Neurospora crassa OR74A: one gene and its partner. The protein of the gene in region 1 purifies or fractionates together with the protein of each later gene. This does not show direct contact. Links are inferred from orthologs where the notes say so. Each region holds a gene or a part of one and is shown on either strand. Other genes may lie near its edges. The genes, in order: NCU06314 and NCU03311.

Region 1 (4,568 bases):
GATCGAGACCAATAAGTCGGTGGTGCTGGAGAATTCAGCATACGGTTACACGCGTCCTAACATTATGGACGCTAAACTCGGCAAGCGGCTGTGGGCAGATGATGCGCCCAAGGCGAAGCAAGAGCGGTTTGATATAATCACCAAGGAAACCACCAATGGCTCGCACGGGTTTCGCATCGCCGGCATGCGCGTTTACAAGGGATCCACCAACCCCTCTGAGCTGGACGAGCAGGGTTATAAGGTCTACGACAAGCATTACGGCCGGTTAGAGGTCAATGCCGACAATGTTGTGGAGGCGATGCGCAAGTTCATTTTCAATTCTCAGGCCGGGATAGATGAGGAGCTTGGCAAGATCATTGCGGGTCTCTTCCTCAATGACCTAAAGCGCATCGAGGAGGTGTTGGCTTCGGAGGAGAGCAGAATGTACTCGGCGAGCTTGCTGTTCACATTCGAAGGAGACGGCAACGCGTTGAGAGCTGCCCTTGACCGGACCCGAGCTGACATGTCGGGAGAGCAATACAAGAAGGATGATGGACCGTACACGCCAGGTCTATCTGCATCTCGCGTTGATAGTGGCATCGAGATGGATGACGAGGGGCAGATGGTGTTTCCAATCAACGCAGCCATCGGCCAAAACATGATACTGGCGAACCTGGCTCAGGCACCTGGTTCCCAAGACATCCAACTCACTGCCGATTCCGACGCAGACAGCATGTCGGGTTCCTCGAACGGCGATATTCCTCGCATCTACTCCCTCAAACTCATTGACTTTGCACATGCCGAGTGGACACCCGGGCAAGGCCCAGACGAGAATGCTCTGTTTGGCGTTCGGAGTTTGATCAAGATCTTTGAACAGCTGGCAGATGATTGAAGGGCGGGTTTCCGAAAGCAATCGTGGAGTTAAGGCGGCATTTCAAGGCGTTTGGGATTGCAATTGGGGCTACCTTGCGAGACTACGGTTAGAGCATGTCACGGGCAGGTTAGAGGAAGGAAAAGAGACGAAAAGGGAAGAGAGCATATACGAATATATATGCATAGGTAGAGGAGAGGTTTTTGACGTCCGTTACGAACATCATTGAAAGAAGGGGAACCAGCCACACGGGCTATTAGGGGGACGGCAATTCTTTTCACGCAATATACCCCTTATTTTTGTTGTACGCTGTTATCCGATCTTGCCACAACTTGAACGTAATTGTAGTATCTGGATGTGGTTGTTGTTGTTGATGTTGTTGTTGTCTGTGACAGCAATTCACAACTTGCGCTGGAACCATATGCCATATTTTACTGTTTCAATGTTTTTTCTTGAAAATCTGCTATGAAGGCAGACATGCTACTGAAATTTGACAAACTCACCAGCAGCTGGTTAGAGGCAATAGGTACTAAAACGGGCTGCTTTTAACTCGATTTTCAAACACTCGAACTGGGACGAAAAGTGGAAGCGGAAAGCACAATTACACCTGGCAGTCTGGAGTAAGACAACCTCAATGAATGCCCTTGACACGCTTAGTACCTTCAGGGTACACAGCGTTTGAGCCCCACTGCCCGCAGCCGCTAAACTCACCTCAGCTTCAACAGCCCTGGCCTTGCTGCAGTGAGCATCAGCTCCCCGTCTTCCACTTAGGTTCCATTGCATGCCACAATAACCTGGAATCCCTGCATGCCAACGGCTGGACTTTACAACTTTCACCCCCATCGGCGCAAACGCAAACAGAACCTTACAAGAAGGAGAACGAAATACAAGTACATATCCAACAGCCTGTGAACAACCTCGTTCACGCGCTGAACACAGCCCGCAATGTCAATTCCAGGCCTCGGTCAGATAGCCCCGCAGGTAAACGAACCCAAGCTCTCGCGCGGACATGCTTCGTATAACCCCAGGCGCGCACGTGTATCCAACGGCATCACCATCTCCTCACAAGCCATTATTATCCATAGGCACACTCGTGACCCGAGATCACAACCAGCTAACCATCGCCTGCCATTTGCCCGTTTTCGGTAATCCAGGCTCCCACAACCACCCAGCGGACCATTAACCTCCGACCGTTCGGCGAATGGCGCTTCTCCATCCCCCACCAACACAGCACCTTCTCATCGAACTCCTCCGCCGCCGGAGTCACCGTCCGCCTCGTCGCCGGCACTGCTGAGCGCGATGGCACTGAGCTCGCGCCCAACTGCGTCTACACATTTCTCCCCGGCACCAAATCAAAGCTCTTCACCGATCAAGGATGCACTCTGGAGATCAACAACACGGGCGGCTACCCCCTCGAGGACCGCGTGGTTGAACACCCGCCGGAACAGTCGCCCATGCTTAGCTATATCAACCTCCACTTTGGCCTCCAAGACCACGAGCGTGCCGCGGCCGCTCAGGCACAACAACAACATCCTACACACCACCAGCAGCAGCAACAAGGGAGAGGAGCAGGAGCAGGAGTAGCGAGGTCAAAACCCGGGCCAAGAGTGCTGATCTGTGGTCCACCCGGCGTCGGCAAGACCTCGCTGGCGAAGCTCCTCGCTGCCCTCGCCACGCGCATGGGCTCTCAGCCGCTGGTAGCCAATCTGAACCCGACCGACGGGCTGCTGTGTCTACCCGGAACGCTGGGTGCGGCCGTGTTCGGCACGTTGATGGACGTGGAGGAGCCGGCGGGTGGGTTTGGCGTGACGAACACGCCGATCAGCGGTCCCAGCGCGGTGCCAGTCAAGAACCCGCTCACATTTTACTTTGGACACGAGAAGGTGGAGGACGACGTGGACATGTGGAGGCAGATGACGGAGCGGCTGGCGGTGTTGGCCAGGCGCAAGTTTGAGAGGAATCGGGATGTGAGGGTGGCGGGGTTGTTGGTTGATACGGCGCCGGTGGAGGCGGGGGACAAAGAGGGGCAGGAGCTGTTGGGGTGGGCGGTTAGGCAGTTTGATGGTGAGTTTATGTCTGATTGGCCTCCAGAAAGACCTCATCAAGAGTGACGAAAGCTAACAATGCAACTATAGCAAACTTCGTTGTGGTGCTAGGCTCTGAACAGCTAAAGACAGAACTTGGGCAGCGGTTCGCAAGCGAGAAGACGAGCTTTGAAGAGCCGATTACTGTCCTCGGGTTAGACAAGTCGGATGGTGCTGTACAGATTGACAAGGCGTGGAGGCAGAAGTCTACAGAGACGGCGATTAAGGAATACTTCTTTGGTGGCATTAAGGCGCGCTTGAGCCCCTTTACACAGTCAGCCAGTTTCGACGAACTAGTCGTTTTCAAGGCGCCTGACGGTGAGTTTTCTCTCTCTCTCACTCTCTTTCTCTCGCTGCACTGAAACTACCTCACCCTACCTGGCACCTAAGCTAACGCCTGTCTTTACCAAAACAGAACCCTATGAAGGCGCCCCAGTCCTCGAGCGAGTCGAAATCACCCCCGAAATGGCCCACTGGACGCTAGCAGTCATGATCGCTTCCGTGACCGACTCGCCGCAAGCCATCCGCTTTTCCTCGGTCCTGGGCTTCATCGTCATCGCCGACGTGGACCAGGAGCGCAGGCGGGTCAAGTTCCTGTCGCCGGTCAGCGGTCGGCTGGGCAACCACCCGCTGATATGGGGACGCTGGCCGGAACCGTATCTCAACCTCCTGGCGTAGGCTCGCCGAAACGTGATACGGGTACGGATGAGAGATGGTGGTCACCAATTGAGCCTGCAAGAGACAAATGATCTCCGGGTTTGCTTGAAGGTGTGGCAAAAATTGACGGATACGGCTGGCGTTGGGTTGGGCTTCGAGATGGAAAATGGTGAAAATGGCATGTAAAGGTGTTTGTTGTTATTCTTGCTTTTGGGTGTCTTTTGACTAGCATGAGAGTGAGCGGGAACAGATTTGGTACCTTGTTATTCTCCTTTGGTGGCTTGTTTGATTCTTGTTGAACATTGTTATTGGTACTTGAAAACGCAAGGCATCAGTCAGTTGTATGCTTTTTGCAACACTCATATCTACCAGTCACTCATTGATATGGGTTTCGTGGTAGAGAGCATGATTTTTGGTCTCTTGAGAGTTTTGAACGTTCTGCTCGAAATGGAGAGTTCCTAACCAGCTTCAGAAAGTAATCGTACTATATCAGCAAAGCTCACATCCAAGTTTTCCCACAGTAATAAGTAGATCAAATTAAAGACGCCGAGATACATATGTCTCAAGTTAAACGTTGTTAGGAATAGAAACAAGTTATGTGCAATGTGTTTACGCTGGTTGTAACATAGTATAGAGTCTTCCCGTTTGGTACTCGTCTAAGAACGTGACCGATTTGTTTATGGTTGGTTCCCCCTATTCTTGTTTTCTATCCTGGCCCATGAGGCTATGATACTGATGGTGACCATTCGGACGAATGACATTATATGCAGTAGGTCATTTACCTTCACCTTATCGCTAGAATCACATAGTGAGCGTGACGAGTTACCTATATAAGGGGATTCAAGGGCACCAGGGCACCGTTAAATGTGCATGGCAAGTAAATTTTCCTGTACATTGACATGCTCCCCTCCGGGAGTCAGTAAAAACGTTACTTCGTAACTCTATCAGCAATGGTTATTCACTTTGCTGGAGAAAGA
Region 2 (4,547 bases), on another chromosome or scaffold:
ACAGACTGCTCGGTAACAAGGCCGACGTCATCAAGAGCTTCGCAAAGCGTTGCAACGAGCATTGGGAGGTGGCGCCTCGGTCGGAGATCGGTCTGTACTTGGGTGACATTCAGGATCATATTGTGACCATGACTTCGAACTTGAGTCACTATGAGAAGTAAGTTGTCTCTCTAGCAATCCAATTGCTTCTCCACTAGTTACTACTTTCTAGCAAATTTCAAACCCAGAATCCTAACATATCATTCAACTTAGAATCCTAGCACGATCTCATGCCAACTACCTAGCGCAAATCAACATACGCATGAACGAGCGACAGGAGCAGACGGCTGACGTGCTCGGGAGACTCACCGTCTTGGGTACCATTGTACTCCCCATGAACATCGTTACCGGTCTTTGGGGCATGAACGTCTGGGTCCCTGGGCAGGGGAACGAGGGCGACCTCAAGTGGTTCACGGCCATCACAGCGGGACTGCTACTTTTTGGGTTTGGCTGTTATCTGATTGCGAAGCGTGTGTATAAGATTGTGTAAAGATACAGACAGGCACGCAAGCGAGTGAGTGGAGGCAAGTGAGGAGGGCTTATGATGTACCATACGGGTTCAACGACTATGTTTTGGACGAAAAGGTCAAGATCCTCTCATGTACTGAGAGAGCACATGTCTACATGACAGCGTTTTGGTTAATAAGGATGGGCAAAAGAAACAGAACGAAATACAGGCGTTGTGGGGTGGTGATGGCGTTTTGTGGAGTGAGATTGAATATCTGTCATTTTCGCGATTGGATAGACAGATGCTTCTAAAAGAATAAAGCGGAAAGCAAAGTCATGTAGTCCACAACTCTGTCTTCATCCCTTTGATGATGTGTGTCGTCTACCTGATCAAAGCTATGTCAGTATACATCGTTACGAAACTTTGACTTTGTTCAGCGGTTTAAGCTTCCAGACTGTGGCTGTTAAATTCACCGATATTTACCCTTTTCTATTGAACCTTTGCAATGCTCCCATTTAGAGTGTGAAACCGACCGCCACCACCATAACGCCTGACCAGCCTAGAAAAGAATGCATAACGACAGAAAAACAGGAACATGAGGCCCCAATACATATTTTTTGCCCATGTTCACGGAAAGTTGACTGGTTGAATCATCCGTCTGTCATATTAGCGTAGGCCCTGAGCAGAAAACTGAGCGCGAAGCGCCAAAATCTGCTGCCTCTCCGCTTCCTGCAGCTTGTCAATCGTCTCCTGCGGCAACTCCATAACGGCACGCATCAGCGCCTCTGCATCCTGCCCTGGGGCAGCAGCAGCAGCAGTCGGAGCTGGAATAGGAGCCGCGGCGACAGGTGGTGCTGCGTAGCCTCCAACAGGACCAGGGGCAACAGGGGGGGTGGCTATGGCGCCGGGATAAGCTCCGTACGGAGCACCGCCCATAGGGTTGGGGACAACGGGAGTACCCATAGGAGGAGCAGCAGCAGCGGCCGGGTTGTCGAGAACTGAGTTGATAGCGTCCGGCGAGACCAGGCCCATGATAAGGAGCGCTTGAAATATCGCGTAGCTCAGCTGGGGCGCTTGGTTGAGAAGTTCCGTGGCCCTAGCAGGATCGTTCGTCGCCAGCGTCTTCATCTGCTGGAGGATGTCGAGAAGTTGAGCCGGGGGAAGGGTGTTGAGGGTGCGGGAGATCGCGTCGGTGCAGGTAACATCGGGGGGAAGGTCTTTGCCCTGGGGCAAGGGTCCGAGAGCAGGAGGGGCGGCGCTGACGGGGGGAGCGGTGTTGTAGCCTCCCCCATTGGGAGGTTGAGCGTTGTAGCTACCGGAGGCGTTCTGATTCGACTAGGTAGGCCGTCATGGTCAGTGGATTGGGTGTGAAAGTGAGGTGAGTTGAGTTGGTTTGTGCCATACCCCGCCATCACGATCTCTGCCACCGTCTTCGTCGCTGACAGTCTCGTTGCTGAAATCGACACGCAGCTTGCGACCCATAATCTCGTGGTCGTTCAGGTTTCGTACAGCCGATGCAGCGGAATCTGGAGATCGGCGAAAGCTGATTAGCGTGTGCGCGGGAGAGGGATACTTGATTCAGAGATGGATACGCACCGTAGTCGGGAAATTCTGCGAACCCAAAACCCTTTGGCCTTCCAGTTTCACGGTCATAGACAAGGCGGAAGTTGAGGACCCGTCCAGCGCCGCTAAAGATTTCGGTTATCTGCTCTTCGGTAAGGCCTGCATTGTCCCTGTCAGTGGGTGGGCTTTTATAGATGGTCGTCGTCTGACCTGGACAGAAGCGGGTTGTCTGCGTACCATAAGGGATGTTTCCCACGAAGACCACACGTGAAGGTTGGCGTGTCGACATGGCGATGCGCGCGTTCACTGTCGAGCAAATATGTTGTACGAAGCGCAAAGTGTCTAGCAGTAGCGCTGCTGAGGGTGGAGAGGCACAATCCTGCGTGAGTTTGACTGCGAGCTGTGTGGGCTGATCGAATGGGAATCACCAAGCGAACCAAATGTTGGACAGGTGGGATGGGCAACCAGGAATTGGTATGAATCGATGGGAACAATAGGGACCGCGCAGGAACAGCGAACTTTGGCAAATGGATGAGATGGAAGTTAACACAGTCGTAGTTAGACTACCTGGTGGCAATTGGGTCCTCTTTAGCCTTTTCTCTTCAATTTCAAAGCCCAAGCCTGCTGCCAGATACCGTCGATTTGTAAGATGGGGGTTTGGTCGAGGTGGGAATACTCTGACAACGGGGAGAAGTTCTGGGAATGGAGTCAACCTTTTGGTGGCTGCAAATGGAAGTTTGTAGTTCTGGATTTGCACACGTCAAAAATTGGACTCTCTGTCGCTGTGTCGCTTCGACGATGGAATGCAGGGGCTATGTACGTCGCGGGGGTGGATACCTCTACTTGTCTCCGAGCTACGATCCATCAAGGTCCTGCTCCCGTCGCGACAAGCTATAGCGACCCACGTGAGCGTATGGTCTGTGCTTGACCAAAGTGAGACAGGCGGTACCTAGAAGCCCAGTTGCGCCAGTAGGGTGGTAGGCAGATGGCAAGTGGACTTTAGTGATGCGCCTCGCTTGTGGTTCTGCCTGTGGGTGGTCTTAGCTCCGACGCTGGAAAAGCTCGGGCAAGCTATCGTGACGACTTCAATCCCCATTTCCCCACCACATCCGTCAACCAACCCAGGGCTCCTACTCCAAATCATCTTTGGGCCGCCCATTACTTCACAGCAGCCCAGCATGTCGAACAACCCATATCAGGATCTCCTGAACAAGATTCAGCAGACTGCCCGGTCTCGCGGCGGCGGCGGTTTCCCAGGTGGCAGGCCCCCCATCCCTCCCCGCGGTTTGGGCCCTGCCTTGACCGGTTTCGCCCTTCTTGGTGGTGGTGCTTGGGTCCTTTCAAACTCCCTGTTCAACGTTGATGGTGGTCACAGAGCGATCAAGTACAGGAGAGTTAATGGTGTTAGCAAGGAGATCTATGGCGAAGGTTCGTCTGCTTTCGCCGCTTGGTCTCTATCTCGCTAGCCTTAATCGTTTTTCTGACAAGTTGAATAGGAACCCATCTCATGATCCCCTGGTTCGAGACCCCTATTACCTACGATGTCCGCGCGAAGCCCAGAAACGTGTCCTCCTTGACCGGTACCAAGGATTTGCAAATGGTCAACATCACCTGCCGTGTCCTTTCAAGACCCGAAGTCACGGCCTTGCCTCAGATTTACCGTACCCTCGGTACCGATTACGACGAGCGGGTCCTTCCTTCAATCGTCAACGAGGTTCTCAAGAGCGTTGTCGCGCAATTCAACGCCAGTCAATTGATCACCCAAAGAGAGATGGTTGCCAAGCTTGTGCGTGAGAACCTGGCAAAGCGTGCGGCCCGGTTCAACATCCTCCTGGACGATGTGTCGCTTACAGTACGATTCCTCCACCCGTTCTTTTGCGTCGTAGATATCTCTGGCTAACCATACCCCAGCACCTCGCATTCTCCCCCGAATTCACTGCGGCAGTAGAGGCCAAGCAGGTCGCACAGCAAGAAGCGCAGCGCGCAGCTTTTATTGTTGACAAGGCGCGTCAAGAGAAGCAGGCTATGGTGGTCAAGGCTCAGGGTGAGGCCCGTTCTGCGGAGCTCATCGGTGAGGCCATCAAGAAGAGCAAGTCGTATGTGGAATTGAAGAAGCTGGAGAATGCGCGTGCAATTGCGAACATCATCCAGGAGGCCGGCGGCAAGAACAGGCTGCTCCTTGATTCTGAGGGCTTGGGCCTCAACGTTTTCGAAGATCGGAGGTCCAAAGACAACTAAGCCGAGGCCTTTGGAAGTTAGAGAGGAGGAGCATGAGATGACGGATAAAAATCTCCGCTGTATATGTATCTTATGGATGTGACGGAAACCCCAAGTGTACAACAGACTTTAATGAACTTATCGGAAAGGCCGGATTTAGCGATGATCTTCAGAAAAGGAAGCTTTCGCAAAAAAGATATCCATCGAAAAGCTCGTCTGCAAATGGCCCTGTTTAGGTGCGAGGCATCCTCTCTATTAGTGATCCAAAGCGGTTATTCAA

The links.
Region 2: the proteins of NCU06314 (region 1) and NCU03311 purify together in Saccharomyces cerevisiae (affinity purification with mass spectrometry; 8 studies listed by BioGRID, with this or other methods). This does not show direct contact. The link is inferred for Neurospora crassa OR74A from reciprocal best matches to the Saccharomyces cerevisiae genes CLP1 and RNA15.

Annotation. Positions count from the first base shown.
Region 1 is NC_026504.1:2,943,045-2,947,612, forward strand, and holds NCU06314 (hypothetical protein), read left to right. Parts: upstream 1-1,644; 5' UTR 1,645-2,304; coding exon 2,305-2,914; intron 2,915-2,985; coding exon 2,986-3,252; intron 3,253-3,349; coding exon 3,350-3,612; 3' UTR 3,613-4,092; downstream 4,093-4,568. Other genes in the region: NCU06315 (inositol hexaphosphate kinase 3), read left to right, coding at 1-871. UniProt on the Saccharomyces cerevisiae protein: Component of the cleavage factor IA (CF IA) complex, which is involved in the endonucleolytic cleavage during polyadenylation-dependent pre-mRNA 3'-end formation. Associates with HRB1/CF IB to form the cleavage factor I (CF I) complex.
Region 2 is NC_026501.1:5,271,527-5,276,073, reverse strand, and holds NCU03311 (polyadenylation factor subunit CstF64), read right to left. Parts: upstream 2,874-4,547; 5' UTR 2,340-2,873; coding exon 2,288-2,339; intron 2,210-2,287; coding exon 2,084-2,209; intron 2,014-2,083; coding exon 1,892-2,013; intron 1,823-1,891; coding exon 1,154-1,822; 3' UTR 593-1,153; downstream 1-592. Other genes in the region: NCU03312 (CorA family metal ion transporter), read left to right, coding at 1-157, 253-529; NCU03310 (prohibitin-2), read left to right, coding at 3,229-3,478, 3,547-3,902, 3,962-4,288. UniProt on the Saccharomyces cerevisiae protein: RNA-binding component of the cleavage factor IA (CFIA) complex, which is involved in the endonucleolytic cleavage during polyadenylation-dependent pre-mRNA 3'-end formation and cooperates with the cleavage factor NAB4/CFIB and the cleavage and polyadenylation factor (CPF) complex.